Linked DNA regions of Caenorhabditis elegans. The protein of the gene in region 1 purifies or fractionates together with the protein of each later gene. This does not show direct contact. Each region holds a gene or a part of one and is shown in the gene's direction. Other genes may lie near its edges.

The links. Proteins that work in one complex are often made in the same cells at the same time.
Region 2: the proteins of ubr-5 (region 1) and ddx-23 fractionate together in Caenorhabditis elegans (co-fractionation; one large-scale study listed by BioGRID). This does not show direct contact.

What each region holds. Positions count from the first base shown.
Region 1 is NC_003279.8:8,834,423-8,842,081, reverse strand, and holds the start of ubr-5 (E3 ubiquitin-protein ligase UBR5), read left to right. Parts: upstream 1-3,362; 5' UTR 3,363-3,435; intron 3,436-3,480; 5' UTR 3,481-3,488; coding exon 3,489-3,619; intron 3,620-3,677; coding exon 3,678-4,028; intron 4,029-4,074; coding exon 4,075-4,183; intron 4,184-4,231; coding exon 4,232-4,340; intron 4,341-4,385; coding exon 4,386-4,511; intron 4,512-4,564; coding exon 4,565-4,769; intron 4,770-4,815; coding exon 4,816-5,238; intron 5,239-5,297; coding exon 5,298-5,526; intron 5,527-5,576; coding exon 5,577-6,005; intron 6,006-6,053; coding exon 6,054-6,404; intron 6,405-6,453; coding exon 6,454-6,612; intron 6,613-6,654; coding exon 6,655-6,814; intron 6,815-6,861; coding exon 6,862-7,425; intron 7,426-7,469; coding exon 7,470-7,659. Other genes in the region: F29D10.2 (uncharacterized protein), read right to left, coding at 1-215, 262-312; F29D10.1 (uncharacterized protein), read right to left, coding at 954-1,121, 1,170-1,448.
Region 2 is NC_003281.10:5,847,179-5,856,561, reverse strand, and holds ddx-23 (putative ATP-dependent RNA helicase DDX23), read left to right. Parts: upstream 1-3,292; 5' UTR 3,293-3,298; coding exon 3,299-3,370; intron 3,371-3,443; coding exon 3,444-5,021; intron 5,022-5,442; coding exon 5,443-5,698; intron 5,699-6,372; coding exon 6,373-6,459; intron 6,460-6,754; coding exon 6,755-6,831; intron 6,832-7,495; coding exon 7,496-7,618; 3' UTR 7,619-7,724; downstream 7,725-9,383. Other genes in the region: cct-6 (T-complex protein 1 subunit zeta), read left to right, coding at 880-1,016, 1,068-1,131, 1,180-1,314, 1,363-1,535, 1,589-2,304, 2,351-2,745.

The sequences.
Region 1 (7,659 bases):
CAAGTTCTACAACAAGTACAACAACATTTAGGTCTACAACAGCAACAGCATCTTGGTCTACAACAACAACATCCACATCCTCCACCACCTCCTCCACATCCACAACATCCACAACAGCCTCCATTCCTTTTAACACGAGATGATTCGATAATTGATGTTTCAGATGAAACTAAAGTTATTTCTGTTGTTGATACTGGCAACACTCCTGATTCAACCTAAATATGTATTGGTTTTGTTTATATTTATACAATGTACTGATACCTGTGAAATGGTAATAACAGCGAAGAGGGCCAAGAGTACAATCTTACTCATTTTAAATTATTAGTTTTCGATATAAACTCTCAATTTCCATCTATTATATATTCGTTCTTACGTGTTTGTCGTCTCTCATTTGACACTTTTGCCGGAAAACCATTTTTTGTGATCTATCCGCGCAAGTCGCGTCATGGAAACTGAGCAAAAAACTAAGACACTTTGAAGCATGGAAAATAAATGGTTGTTGCCAGTATCAACATTAGAAATATCTGTAATTACATCTGAAACATCAATTCTCGAATCAACTCTTATTGGAATCGCGTGAAAGCTCGTGAATCTCGTGGAAAAATGGAGGATGTTGTGGATTATATGATCCATAACACCCATGGATGCGATGGATGATAAAGTATTTTTCTTTCGACTCAGGTGAAGACGATTATTCGATTTTGAGATGCTTAAGTTTTGAAATGAAGGCTTAAGTTTTGAAGATCACGCCTACGTGTCTGCCTTCTTGCTTTCATGCCCTGGATCGAAACCCTGCGAGTGTACTGGTGGGCACATCGTAAATTAACTGTGATCACAGATAATAGTTATTTCTTTGATTGAAATTACTTTTTTCAAAACGCCCGATTTATTCTGGTGTACCACCTGTTTTCAATTAACTTTCAAAAATTAATTTATTATGCAAAAAGTTCACATTATTCCCGTTCAGTTTCAGTTTTCAGTTCATCCACATCTTCACTCTTCTTTTTAGGCGACTTTCGTTTCTTACTAGATGCTGACGAATCACAAACTTTTTGGGAAGATGGAACTTTCTTGACTTTCACTATCTTCTCCGACTCCTCTACAGTTTTTGGGATTTTCACCTGAAAATGGGAGATATTGGAAATAAAAATTATAACTGTTATACTTACACTTTTTTCTTTTTTAGACTGGTCCGATAGCTTTTCATCAAATACAACCAACGGCTTCTGTCGTCCTTTCCAAGACAATTTGGCTCCCTGTGGTGGTGGTGTTACCAAAGTGGGTGGAGAGTCAGGGTGTTTTTCCTTTTTTGTCTTCTTTTTCACACAAATCACAAGAAGTGAAAATGAAAATGATAGCAATACGATAATCGCAAAAGTTATTCTGAAAAGTGTAAAAGTTATTTTACACAAAACAAAAATTTCAAAGTGCTCAATCATTTGTGCCATTTTTTCCTTGCTCTGTTCTATTGACGAAAAATTCCGAGAAGTATTTAGATGCATAATAGATTGAAAAACACAAAAATATCCATATAGAGACAAGGCCTATTATAGATTTTTCTTGTATCGTACCACCAGCACTTTATTTCATCTATATTTCACACACAAACATCATTATTTTTTTCAGTCATACCGTTCTGGTATACATCTAAATAGCAATACATAAGAAAAATCAATAATAGACCCCTCCTCATACAGGGTACTTCTAGAGTTTTCTCACTAATATTACTGAGTGGAACAGAATGAGCCAGAAATCACAACTGGTGCTATTCCACAGTTACACGTGGTGTCAGAGTCTCTCTCGGTTTGATCTATGAAAGTGTCTAAATTAGGCGCAATTTCCGGAGATGAAGCCTGACACCACGTGCTTTAACAGTTTGAAAAATCTCTCTCTTCTTACCTGCCAATCCATGAAAATACAACGTTTATCATATTTTCTAAACAAAATGGTAAAATGAATAAATTGACATCGTTGTGGGGGGTGTAAGTGTAATTATTAAAATGTCAAAAACGTGATCTATATTAATATTTTAAGAGATTGATTTAGAAAAAAACAACGAAAAGTTAAACTTGAGTGTAGCAACAAAGATCTAATCTTATACATATTTCAGTAAACTGATTAAAATTTAAAAAAAAATTTTGCTGAATATGGGGAAAATTGGATTACACAAAGGTGACATGAACTTGTGTTGTAAGTGTTCTTAACTCCATCTGGCACACACCGTATGCATAGTTCACCACTACAGTAACCCTAATAGTATCTGTGAATTGCTATTTAGAATCATCATTCTTATTTTTCCGCCTCATTTCCATAAATATAACTTTAGTTTTCAACTCAAAATCTTTACAGTTACAAAATAAATTCAAAATTCGAATTTTTCTGGTTCATAATCGTAGTTTTTGTATTTAAATTTGTTGTTAAAAAACAGTAAAACAGGCGTAGCTTCCGTAGATCGATACAAAAGTTGACACTCTGCATAGAAGTCTGAATAACGACATCTAAATACAAATTGAAAATATTTAAACACTTTTGCCAAGTTCTGAAAATAAGTAATTTTAGCCCGTTTCATGAGTTTTTAGAAAAATCGATTTCCCAATAAATATCTTCACAATTGAAGCTTTAAAGTTAACTTTGCCATTGCTAGAACTTTTATTAGTAAATCATCAAAATATATTATTTGAATATATTAATTTGAACATTCAAAGCATAAATTTCTATCGTATCACCGCCGCGGGCCCTTTCATCAGTCGCTTCGAGACCGGTCAATTGAAAAGAGAGAGTGAGAGAGAGCGCGCGCGCGCCAGGAAGAGAGTATTAGAGAAAGGGTGAGAGATGAGAGACGCAGACCACCAAAGGAGGTAACTCTCAATCAAATGCCGTTCGCTCGCTTTTACTTGTGCATTTCCGTTGTTTAAGTCATACTTCGCGCTCAGTTCTCCATTTTTTCCGAATTTTTTTAAATCTGGAAATTGTAGCACTTCAGCTTCAAAAATTGAAGTATTATTCCTTTATTTGTTGTTAATTACTGAACAATGTAGTAACAAAATCGCGAAAAATTAACAAAAATCGCTTTTTAAGTTGATACAATAGAAATGTTCACTTCCAACAACTTTCTATTTAAAAAGAAAATTATATGTTCAATAAAGAAGCCGTGCTCATTTTCAGTTGATAATTCTTTCAAAGCTAACGAAAGTTTTTTCAAGATATTACGAAACTTTCGGGGTTTTCGAATAAATATAATTAGTTTTCTCTTGGGGATTTTTAAATTGTAGAGTGAAAGTTCATTGAATTTTGCCAGTCGTGCTCTTAAAGATTGTTCTAAGAAAAACTGTAAACTTGTTATTTATATTTATCCATTGCAGGCTGTAAACCTTTAAAACAAATTGGTGAAGCATACGAAAAGAAAAGGACGGAAACACCGTCGTCAAACACCAGGTGAGAATATTTTATCTCTTGAAAGTTATTAACTTTTTTTTTCAGGACAAGGAATGAGTGGGCATTCAGTTGACGGTGAAGAGCAGAGCTCGTCGGCCCCGGCAAGAAATCACACGCTTACGCACGTTTTGTACGCACAAGAAGCTGTCGGAGATGAGAAGAAAGACTCTGCAATTATTGATTTGTACGTGTTCAAGTCTTTAGAAAATGCCAGCTATGGTCTAAACAAACAAATTTTGCAGAATTGTCGACCAGTTCAAGCAAGAAAACATAGGAAACATTTTGGCAAATCCAGCAATCGCTTCTCTTGGCCCCTCGCGAATTAGACAAGTTGTGCTCGGCCCGAAGCATGTGGGAGTGCTGTTGGATGATGCAACTGTCTGTCGGATCCCATATCATGTTCTTCAAATTCAAAGCGGAGAGGTGAAGGAGGCTGAGGCCGTCAAAGGAGAACCATCATCGCGGTTGCACGATGTTTATGCTCGAGCTGGTGCTGCTGGAGAAGTAGAGGTCATTCCATTGAGTGGTGGTATGAACACACTGAGAGCAGCAGCTGGACAAGCCAAATATCGGAGAGTTATGCTTTCAAACAGGTTTTTGCGTTAAAAAACATGTTCAATAATTAATTTAATCCTTCAGAGCTTATTATCGTCTTCGTGGCAACCTCGGTGAATCAAGAAGCTATGTTCTAGGTGCTCCCCGAGTTCCTGCAACAAATGTTCCAGAGGAACTCATCAATAATGTTCAAGTTCGTATTTGTCGTGATAAAATAACATTATTTGATGATCTTTTTCAGCAAGTTCTACAAGGAAAGTCTAGGGATGTAATCATCAGAGAACTCCAAAGAACTGGCCTAAATGTAAATGAAGCAGTCAATAATTTGCTTTCAAGGGACGATGGAGATGGTTTGAATATTTAAATTAAAATGGAAAATTTCATTATTTTTACAGAGCAAGATGTACTAGATGTCGGAGGAGAACATCTGATTCCAGAGGAGTTACTTCAAATTTTGGAAGGTGGTGTTCCACCAGGAAGTAGTGGAGCTGTTGCAATGGCTGAAAGTCTGCTAGAACGTGGTAGGTGCCTTATTCAAATATATTGTTCATTATCCCCTTCGTTGTTGCTACAGAAGATCGTTTGCTGGATTCACTGGCATCTCGAGCCGAAATGAGATATCATTTCGGAGGTGCGTCCGGTAGTAAAAAGCCAAAAGCAAACGAGAAGGACAAAAAGAAGAAAGATAGTGAGACAAATTGGAAGAATTGCATACAGTTGGGAGAACATGTTGAGTGGTGGCGTGGAGCTCCAGGAGACGGAATTCCTGAGCATGCAAAGTAGTTTTCTTAGAATCAATATGTGCATTCAATCCATTGCTTTCAGAACCGATGCTCCAGTAAAATCTGAAGACGATAAAGCAAATCCAGTAATTAGTATCACGGCAACAAGTTATCAGATGTATGCTCTTCACAGAAACGGCAAAATGTACTCATGGGCGTGGGATGAGTCTGAAGGTCTTGATGATCCTTTGACTATTGTTAAAAACCGAGATCATCCCGACCATGCTACAATCGGAACACATGGAAATCCTGTTATTCAAATGTCATCCAGTAACTTGAGAATCTCAATTCTCACCCGATCCGGTCATTTGGTCAGCTGGCTCGATGAATGTGGAGCAGGCGTTCGATTTTCACTTGCTTCTGAAACAGTCACTAAGATCTCAGAAGACTCGGTGATGGCCGTTCAAGATCTGGTTACCAGCGATCATCTTGCCGCGTTTCGAATCGATAGCATTATTCATTGGTGGTATGTTTGATGTCATTTCCCTAGAAATATACATCAAAATATCTCATTAATTGTTTCAGTGGTATTGTGCCTCTTGTGGAAAGTACACGCTCTACTAAAAAGGAAAAAGAAGAAGCAGATCGTGAGAAAAAGAAGCATGTGTCATTTGGAGAAGCACCTGTGTCATCTATACCGGCGGTTCAATCGAATTCGATTGAATTTTTTGTGGGACAACAAGTTCAAATGAAAAAAGCTCCTCTGTATCCTGCAGGAAGTGTTGCTGCTCAAATAGACACTAGCAACCCCATGGTATTTTTTCAAAATAAGAATTTATGATGTAGATGACAACTTTTTTCCAGATTGGAGTTCTTCTGGAAGATTGCTGGAGTGCCACAGACCACTGCCGTTTTCGCAGCATGACACCTAAAGAATACGATTACGAGCTTGAAGTTGATGGATTCATTGCTCTACTGAACGGAGCATCACCAGAAGTATCTTCTGCCAGTGGAACCTCAACCAAAACGCTCCCAGGGGGAAGAGTCTCTCGGAAACGAACCCACGACGAAGCAGACGATTCGAATAGTGTTCCACCCACAGAGTTCGGACGACGACGCGTTGAAGTTTGGCTCGCCGAAGATCTTGTATGGATTCACGAGCATCGGAAAAGAGATGTCATGACGGTGCAAGTCGTTGACAATAACCTGGTTGCTGTTAAGCATGTGCCAAATTCCAGCCAGAAACCAATTTTCCAGAGTTTATTTAGCGAGAGACTTGAAATGGACGGAATGGTAACTTTAATTGAATATTGCATTCTTGAATTATTTTCCAAATTTCAGCCTCAGACTGTGATTTCAATCGAAAAATCTACGGATATCGACAAGATACGTCTAATGCGTAAAGAAGATTTACAAGTAATTGACAAGTGTCCTCCACGTGCTCCAGTCATTTTGCAAAAGGAATTGTTGAAATTCGATGTAGATTGTAATCGAACAATTGTATCAATGGTAGCTGATTTGAATGAACTCCGGGTGTTGGCTCGAAGTAAACACGTCGAACGTGGAATGCACATGTACCGAGTAAGCACGAACGGAAAAGTTATTTCAAGAAGACGAGTTCCTGTATTTCTCCCATCTGTTGAACGTCCAATTTTTGGAGGATTGTCTCCAAAGCTGATCAGTTTCGGAGATGTAAGATTTAAATATCTAGTAGTACTAAACATCTGAACACTATTTGCAGGCTCGGACACTTTTCCTACGAGACACTGCTGGTCAATTGATTCCTCTTCAACGTGATGCTTTAAATGGATTCCGTGAACCACCAGCAATGCATTCTCAACCAATTCTTCACATCGCTACTGCATGTAGACCCAGTTTTAACGTGCTGGCGTCTTGCGAGGTAGATAATGACTTACCGACAAAAATTCAAACCAGTTTTCAGAAAAATTCTCAATGGCAAGGTTCGATGCTGATTATTCCTGGCGTTGATCGTCCTTGGCATAGTCATTTCATCAAAGATGGATCGTCTTTGATGCAAATGGTCTTGTACTGTGACGCAGATGGTGTCAGTCAATTTTTAGATCGATTATTCGAGTTGAGAAGTATGTATTAGAAATTGTTATTTATAAAATTTGGAATCAATTTTCAGTGAGCTGTACCATCAGTCATCATGAGTTCCGGCAGATTATGAGCGAACAATTGTTCACTATCACCTCGGATCTTTGCTCAAACGTCTTACATGCGGCGATCCGGCTAACAAGTGCTACCAAAAACTCGGAAGATTCTGATAAAGCTGTTCCTGATACAACTATGCCAACATTGTTCCCAACCCGAAATATTACACTACCACCACAAGATGTATCCATGGAAGATGCAGCCCCAGCAGAAGAATCGAGCTCTTCCAATATGCAAGGCGATGAAATTGATGATGAGGAAGAGCCACGATGGTCACGAGTACTCAGAAGCAGACCGAAAAGAGAGCAAGTGACACCTTCAAAGAAATCGAAAAAAGAAAAACGAGCTGATTCTGAAGAAAACGACGAGTACGGAGGTGAAAATCATTCGTTCTCTGCAGTACGATCAGATGAAAGTGGGATGCCGTTCGGATCTCCAAGGCCACCGATGGTCCGTCAAAAATCAGCACTTCAGATTATTGACACTTTTCTGAAACATCCAGCAATGTTTTATGACAAGGACGCTGAAGAACATATTGGTATATTTTTGAAATACGAAACTTTCAAAACAAAATTTTTTCAGAATATGTGGATGAACCGGACCGTCTGTCTGCTGTGAAGGCGCTTCTACTTACGCGTGATCTTAATGGAATGACTCCTTTCCAATCAGCCATAAATCAGCGAGCTTACGGTGCTGCGACTAGTATTTGGAGAGCATTATTGCAATTAGGATTCCAGACGATGTCGGAGGAGCAGAAATTGAAGTACATTTT
Region 2 (9,383 bases), on another chromosome or scaffold:
CACAATGCAGTGACCACTAAAATTTGTGAAATGGAAATTGTGGAAAATTGCAGTCGCTTGCTCGACACAAAAAGAGCTATTCGGCTTATACATAACTTCAGGATAAAATTAATTCCCAGAAATTCAAATAAAAACACAGATCCACTTAGTTTGTATATGTTTCGTTGAAAAGGCGAATATTCGCACAAATTTCAATCTCTCGCACAATTTTTAACTACGGGAAAGCTAACAACATGGAATTATTGTGTCAACTTAATTGTAAATGTTTTAAAATGTTATTTTCACTGTAGAGTGTATTAAGCAAAATGCATTACATTTTTGAGCAATTTCAAATAAATCCCAATTTGGAAAAACTTGCAAAGAATTTGAATTCCCGGTAATTTTTTTCAAATAAAAACGCTTACCTTCTTAGCTGCTTTTGCAGCAACTGATGCTGCATTGGCAGCGGCCGCGCATCGTTTGCATCGTCTTATTCCCGAAAAGGGTGTATTGGGGCATTTTTACTGCGGAACAATGTAAATAATGAAAAACCTAATTTTGAAACACCGCGTAAATCCTCCCCGAAAAGCGTAGAATGTCTCTGCGTGGTGAGACCCAGTTGCGAAATTGTGTGCGCCTTTAGAAGCGAATTTATTTTCTAGAATAAATTCAAACGAGAATCATTGTTTTTCAAGGATTTCTGTTGAAAGTCTTTATTTTTTATTTAAAAAGTTATGTAATAATACATTTTAGAACCTTTTTGAATTGTAATATGCTCTCGAACCTTTTTATGCGTGTCTATTTTCCTCTTGAATCGTTTTCCAATCTCATTTCTCCGTTTTTTAGTTTTTGTTGGTTTTACTGAGATATTTCATAGTTGAATTCTTGTTTTCAGGTAGTATGTCGTCAATCCAGTGCCTGAACCCGAAAGCTGAGTTAGCTAGGCATGCTGCCGCTCTCGAGCTTAATATTAGTGGAGCTCGTGGACTTCAAGACGTCATGAGATCGAACCTCGGACCAAAGGGAACTCTCAAGATGTGAGAATAAACTGATCAAATGTATAATTGAGACTATAATCACATTTTCAGGCTCGTATCTGGAGCTGGGGATATCAAATTGACGAAGGATGGAAATGTCTTGCTTCACGAAATGGTTTGATCGTTTTGTTCAGATTCAGCGTTTAGCACTATTTAATTTCAGGCGATTCAACATCCAACAGCCTCAATGATTGCCAAGGCTTCGACGGCACAAGACGACGTGACTGGAGATGGAACCACATCCACCGTTCTCCTTATCGGAGAGCTCTTGAAACAAGCCGAATCTCTAGTTCTCGAGGTGATCAATTTCCAAAGTTTAACTTTAAACATTTATTTAAAATTTTAGGGTCTTCATCCACGTATTGTTACTGAAGGCTTCGAGTGGGCTAACACAAAAACCCTCGAGTTGCTTGAAAAGTTCAAGAAAGAGGCTCCCGTTGAGCGTGACCTCCTTGTAGAGGTGTGCCGCACTGCTCTTCGTACCAAACTTCATCAGAAACTTGCTGATCACATCACCGAGTAAGAAACAAACAATTAAAAAGTAGTAAAAAACATTATCTTCTTAATTTCAGATGCGTTGTCGACGCCGTTTTGGCAATCCGTCGTGATGGAGAGGAACCAGATCTTCATATGGTTGAAAAGATGGAAATGCACCACGACAGTGATATGGATACCACACTTGTTCGTGGATTAGTTCTCGATCATGGAGCTCGTCACCCAGATATGCCAAGACACGTTAAAGACGCTTACATTCTCACTTGCAACGTTTCTTTGGAATACGAGAAGACTGAAGTCAACTCGGGACTTTTCTACAAGACCGCCAAGGAACGTGAGGCACTTCTCGCTGCCGAACGTGAATTCATTACTCGTCGTGTTCACAAGATTATTGAGTTGAAGAAGAAGGTTATTGATAATTCTCCAGATGGTAAGAATAAGGGATTCGTTGTTATCAACCAGAAAGGAATCGATCCTCCATCTCTTGACTTGCTTGCTTCCGAAGGAATTCTTGCTCTTCGTCGTGCCAAGAGACGTAACATGGAACGTCTTCAGCTGGCCGTCGGAGGAGAAGCCGTCAACTCAGTTGATGATTTGACTCCAGAGGATCTTGGATGGGCTGGACTCGTTTACGAGCATTCCCTTGGAGAAGAGAAATACACGTTTATCGAGGAATGCCGTGCTCCAAAATCTGTGACTCTTCTTATCAAGGGACCAAACAAGCATACCATCACTCAAATCAAGGATGCTATTCATGATGGACTTCGTGCTGTTTTCAACACCATCGTTGACAGTGAGTTTAAATTTTATTAACTTCTGTTCTAGTAACCTATTTTCAGAGGCTGTTCTCCCTGGAGCTGCTGCTTTCGAAATTGCTGCCTACGTGATGTTGAAAAAAGATGTTGAGAACCTGAAGGGACGTGCCAAGCTCGGAGCTGAAGCGTTTGCTCAAGCTCTTCTCGTTATTCCAAAGACACTGGCCGTAAATGGAGGATATGATGCTCAGGAAACACTTGTTAAGCTTATTGAGGAGAAAACCGCCGCTGGACCAGATATCGCCGTTGGACTCGATCTCGAAACCGGAGGAGCTGTCGAGCCACAAGGAATTTGGGACAATGTGACGGTGAAGAAGAACAGTATCTCGTCGGCGACAGTACTTGCATGCAATCTCTTGCTTGTTGATGAAGTGATGCGCGCTGGTATGACCAACTTGAAGCAGCCACAACCAGAATAAATATTAAAATTGTTTTTCTATTCCCCCCAGTGTGTCCGTTTCTATGATCTGTTGCCGTGTTTGATAATATTCCCCATCCCGTTCAACAAGCCCAACTTTACCGTTTGTTTTTATAGCTTTCTTCGAGCGATAATCAACAAAGATCGATCTGTTTTCTTTTTCTTTATTATCCCCCAATTTCTTAAATTTTCATCAAAATTTATTGCTTTTCATTTGAGAATTTGTTGATTTTTTCATGCACGTTCCTTTTTGATTTTGCGCAATAAAGGCTTCTTGCTTTTAATATTATTATGATTGGTTTCCGGTTGTGTATGTGCGCGAAGCTTTATTTCTATAGAAAATTAATATGATATTCGGAGAATTGACATTTTCGAATGTCCCGCTAAGAGAGCGCGGCCTAACAAATACCACCTCGGTCGCGTGTATTATATACGAAAAGGGTGAATGCATTTCTGTAGGTTTATGTTAAAAATTGGTTTTTTTACATTTTCCCATTGTAAAAGCATATTTTTAATTAGTTTTCCAAACATTTAAGTTCTTAAATTCCAGAGAAATGGCTGCTGAACCTCCATCACTTGAGGAACTTCTGGAAAAGAAGAAAAGAGAAGAAGATGAATTGGCAAAGGTATGTATTATTTTTTAATATCTCAAAAAACATCGCATATTTTTTAAAAACCAAACCATTTTCAAATTTTCAGCCAAAATTTCTGTCAAAAGCCGAGCGGGCCGCATTGGCTCTGAAACGAAGAGAAGAGGAGGTCGCAAAACTGCGTGAAACACAAAAACAAGCTGAAGAAGCTCGAAAAAATTGGGGACGCACCGAAAAAACATCAGACGATAGAAGAGATCGTGGACTTGACCGAGGCAATGATCGTGACAGAGACCGTGAACGGGAACGTGATCGTGATCGTCGACGGGATCGTCGGGAGAGAAGTGGTTCTCGAGATAGACGACGAAGGAGCAGGAGCCGTGATCGTGATGGTGGAAGGCGTCGAGATAGAAGTAGAAGTAGAGATAGAAGGGATCGAAATGATGATCGGAAAAGAGATAGAAACGAGGATAGTGATAATGAAGAAGATGTTAGTAAAATGGCAGATGCTGTTAAAGACAGATATCTTGGAAAACAGAAGGAAAAGAAGAAAAGAGGACGGAGACTTCATGAGAAAAAGTTTGTTTTTGATTGGGATGCTGGAGAGGATACATCACAGGATTATAACAAATTATATCAAAGTCGACATGAAATTCAGTTCTTTGGAAGAGGATCTGTTGCTGGAACGGATGTGAATGCTCAGAAAAAAGAGAAGAACTCGTTCTACCAGGAAATGATGGAAAATCGAAGAACTGTTGATGAGAAAGAGCAAGAGATGCATCGCCTTGAAAAAGAACTGAAAAAAGAAAAGAAAGTGGCTCATGATGATCGTCATTGGAGAATGAAAGAACTTTCTGAGATGTCTGACAGAGATTGGCGTATCTTCCGTGAAGATTTCAATATTTCTATTAAAGGAGGCAGAGTTCCACGACCTCTTCGTAATTGGGAAGAAGCTGGATTTCCAGATGAAGTCTACCAAGCTGTCAAAGAAATTGGTTATCTGGAACCTACACCTATTCAGAGACAAGCCATCCCAATTGGTCTTCAGAATCGTGACGTAATCGGTGTAGCTGAAACTGGATCAGGAAAAACTGCAGCTTTCCTTCTACCGCTGCTTGTATGGATCACAAGCCTTCCAAAAATGGAACGACAAGAACATCGGGACTTGGGTCCATATGCTATTATTATGGCTCCAACAAGAGAATTGGCTCAGCAGATTGAAGAGGAAACCAACAAGTTCGGAAAGCTTCTCGGTATCAAGACCGTTTCAGTAATCGGAGGAGCCAGCAGAGAAGATCAAGGAATGAAGCTTCGAATGGGTGTTGAAGTGGTCATTGCAACACCAGGTCGTCTTCTCGATGTTCTGGAAAATCGATATCTTCTCCTGAATCAGTGTACCTATGTGATCCTTGACGAAGCTGATCGAATGCTTGACATGGGATTTGAACCAGATGTTCAGAAGGTTCTGGAGTACATGCCAGATACAAATATGAAGAAAGATACGGATGAATTCGATAATGAAGAAGCTTTGATGAAGGGATTCTCAACAAGAGAGAAATATCGACAAACTGTCATGTTCACAGCTACAATGTCTTCAGCTATCGAAAGACTTGCCAGACAATATCTCAGAAGACCAGCAGTTGTACATATTGGATCTGCTGGAAAGCCTACAGAAAGAGTTGAACAGGTAATTTATTTTATTCTTGGTAGAAAAGAAAAATAATTATGAGAATCGTTTTTCATATTTCGACATTAAGCTGAACTAGAAAAATTACTAGAACTAAGGCAGCTTCCTAAAGTAGCTTCATAAAAGTTGTTAACTAAAATTTGCTAAAAACTAATTAAGAACACCCAAAAAATTGTTTTTTAACTGAAAAAAGTGAAAAATTGTTTGGTTTTTTGTTGGTTTTCTAAAAAATAAAATCAAAAAATTAATTTTTCGTCAAATTACCAAAAAATGCCAAAAAAAAGTCCCATCTCTGGATTGAAACCACGCAGAAAGGGGGAATTCTGTTTTCAGTGTCTTTTTTCAGAGGCTAGTATTTTTTAGTAAGAAATTTCAAAAAAATTTCAAGTTTTTTAAAAATTCCAAAATATTTCGTATTCAGGTAGTCTACATGGTTCCAGAGGATCGTAAACGTAAGAAGCTCGTCGAAGTGCTCGAATCACAATTCCAACCACCGATTATTATTTTTGTCAATCAGAAGAAAGGTGCTGATATGCTCTCAAAAGGTCTTACCAAACTTGGTTTCAAGCCAACAGTTCTTCACGGAGGAAAAGGTCAAGATCAAAGAGAATACGCTCTGCAGGCTCTTAAAGAAGGAACGAGTGATATTCTTGTGGCTACTGATGTTGCTGGAAGAGGTTCGTTTTTTTTTTTGGAAAAAAATTGTTGATTCAAATACTTTTTTCAAGTATATATATACCGTATATTCTCTATTAGAGCGGCGTATCTAATAGTACGGCGTATCTATTAGAGCGGCACCCTAACTGGCTCTTCGAAAATTAGAGCGGCAGTCTCTATTAGTGTGGCACCCCTTTTTTTGGGTGCGAGAGCCACCTCAATTATTCGATTTCTTCGAAGATATTTTTGTTCATTCTTGAATGAATTCATAAATTTTCATTTAAATATTGAATTTTAGTGTCTTTGTGAGGCAAAATTACACAATTTTCACGAATTTTTCCATAAAATATGAGGTTTTATAAGGAAATTTTGAGGTTACTACTCCCAACAGTAGTAACTTCAATATGAAAATTAGTTATCGAAAATTAGTGCGGCAGTATCCAGTAGAACGGCAGTCTCTAATAGAGCGCACGTCGCGAAGGGCCCGGAAATTAGTGCGGCATGCCGCTCTAATAGAGAATATACGGTATATAACGTTTCTTGAAAGTTTCAAACTCTTCTGAATGAAAACCCAAAAATTTGAGATTCCCCTATTTAAAAAAAAAACTAATTGAAGAGGTTTGATTCGAAATGTAACTAAAAAATTATAAATTCAAAGTTTTGAAAATCAAAATAATATCCACTTAATTTTCAGGTATCGACGTCAAAGATGTATCACTGGTACTCAACTACGATATGGCAAAATCAATTGAAGACTATACTCACAGAATTGGTAGAACTGGTATGTTTTTATTCACTTTTTCTGTGGAAATTTTTTGATGAAGTGTAATTTTCTGTTTTGGGAAAATATGAGATTCTTGAGGACATCATTTTTTTAAAATTTATCTCCACATAGTATGATTTATTACAACGGAAAAAAGATAAAGAACAGCGGAGCAGTAAGAAATTATTTAAAGAAAATTTTAAAAAATGAAAAAAAATGCGTAGAAGTTTTCATAAATTTTGAAGCTACTAGCATCTGAAAACTTCCACACTTTTCTTCTTGATCACATATAATAATTTCTTTTAAATTTCAGGTCGAGCTGGTAAACATGGAAAAGCAATCACATTCCTCACACCTGACGATACTGCCGTCTATTTCGACTTGAAGCAGGTAAAAATTGTGACGGAAACCGGACACCAAAAATGATATTGGACCTAAAAATCAAAAAATTTTTGTTTTGATTTTAGGTCGAAAAATAAAAATTGAAATTTGCGAAAAATTAAAGAAGAAACTAAACAAGAAAAACGAAAAATTGAGGACTTTAGTTTAATTTTTATTTTTAAAGAACAATGAAAAAATGAAAATTTTTTAAAGATAAAAAATCCAACAAAAAAAATTTAATTTTTTGTCCAAATATCAACAAAAAAGAAAAGATTTGCATTCGGTTTTCTGAAAGATAATCGATGAAATAAGTAGTTAAAAATGAAAACATCAGTTAATCGTTTCATAAAATATTTAAAAAAAATATTTTAAGCGTTCTTGAACAATTTAGAAAAAAAAAATCCACTTTTGGGTTACTGTAGTTACTGCAAGCGAATTAAAATTACAATGAAAAAAAGAAACAACTCCGAAAAAAATTTATTCGAATAAGGTTAATTCGATGAGATGCCCTTTAATTAAGTCGTTAATGAATGTTTTGAATTTAATTTTCAAAATTTCCGTCTAATTCCAAGATAATCGTTTTTGAAAGTTTTTTTTTTCAAAAGTTTCAAAAGAAAATGTATCACTCAATAAATACTTTTAATAAAAATATTTTAACTCGTATTTTTTCCAGGTTCTGGTCGAATCGCCAGTGTCATCATGCCCACCTGAACTTGCGAATCATCCGGATGCACAGAGTAAGCCTGGAGTGTTTACATCAAAGAAACGACAAGATGAAACATTGTTCTTGAAGTGATAATTCTCTTTTTTGTTTGGAAAATCTCAACATTTATATTTATTTATTCAATTTTTATATGATTGTTCTACCAGATCTGTTAAATAAATACTCCTGACCCCATCATTCCGTTCAAATTTCATTATTAATTCCAGAATAGGAAAATGATCATGAAAAGTTGCTCTCTGTCGGATTTCCAAGAGCACATTATTCGGAGAATGTGTGTTTTAAAGCTAGTCTCGTGGAAAAATTCAAATTAAATGAATTCTCATGTTAGGAAGCAAAATAATTAATTTTTCGATTTTAAGAAACGAAATTGAAAGTTTAAAAATCTGAAATATTTCACTCCACACTGATCATAATTTTTTTAAAATAAAATAAAATAGTATTTTGAAATACGTTTTACTAGTTATTGTGAAAAAAGGAAAACTGAAAATAAATAAATAAATCTTTAAAGGTTGGGTACATGTTAGATAATTATAAAAATAAGAAGTTCGTCGACGTGTTCGAATCGTTTTTCCAAAAAACCTTCGCCAAGGAATAAAACCTAACAAAATCATAATGTTGTCAAAAAAAATGGGCCGACATGCTCTCAAAAGGTCTCGTAAACCTGAAGATCAAATCCACGGTTTTTCACGGAGGAAAGACTCACTGGGGAACCGTCAGAAGGTGCCCATCAAACTAGCATATGAGATTCGATAGCCCATGTCTTAAAACGGTTACTCGAGAATTTTTAGCGGTGAAGCTCCAGAACCAAACTCACGGCGGGCTCTCAAAGATCCTGAAAATAGCACTTTAACGAAGCATTGAAGGGCCTACTTTCCAATTTCACTTTGGTAGCTCATATCTCCGCGGATAAATTTTTTACAGAAAAGTCATCAACTAAAAAGTTGTTGATATTGTTGTAAAGAACAAGTTTGTAGTTGAAAGTTTTTTATCAAAAACATTTTTGCTTGAGATAAAAGCGCGTGAAGTGCGGCAACTGTTGCTGTTATTTTTAAGCTGTTGCTATTCTAATGCTTTTATCTCAAACAAAATGTTTTTTGGTAAAAAACTTTCAGCTACAAACTTTTACTTTCCAACAATATCAACAACTTTTTAGTTGATGACTTTTCTGTAAAAAATTTATCCGCGGAGATATTTTAGGATATTTGAAAGCCCGCCGCGAGCTTAGCTCTGGAGTTTTACTGCTAAACATTCACGGGTAACCGTTTTAAGACCTGGGCGTTCGAATGACAAAGATCTCATATGCAAGTCCGATGGACACCTTCTGACGGTTCCCTAGTCAGGAACAGGGAGAATCCGCCTTTAAAGATCTAGGCTTTAAAAGGTTAGATGGATACCGTACTCTTTTTGTTACTGATGTTGCTTAAAGAGGTTCGTGGTTTGTGCTGTTAAAAATTCTTTGAATTATGAAAAATGTCGGGAATTTTTGTTAGAAGTTCAGTTAAAAATTCATTAAAAATTATGAATGTTTTAAAAATAAAAATAATATTCACTTGATTTCCAGGGATCGACGTCAAAGATGTATCACTGGTACTCAACTACGATATGGCAAAACCAATCGAAGACTATACTCACAGAATTTATATAACTGGTATGTCTTTATTTACTTTTTCTGTGGAAATTTTTAGATTTAATTATTTTTTCTGTAGTTCAAATATCTTCCAAAATAGAAATAGGTGAATAATAACGCGAAACTGCTAAAAAAAATGTGTTACCCAAATTTTATATATTCTCATTAAAACTTAACACACCATCTCCCTCAAAGTATTGTTGAATATAC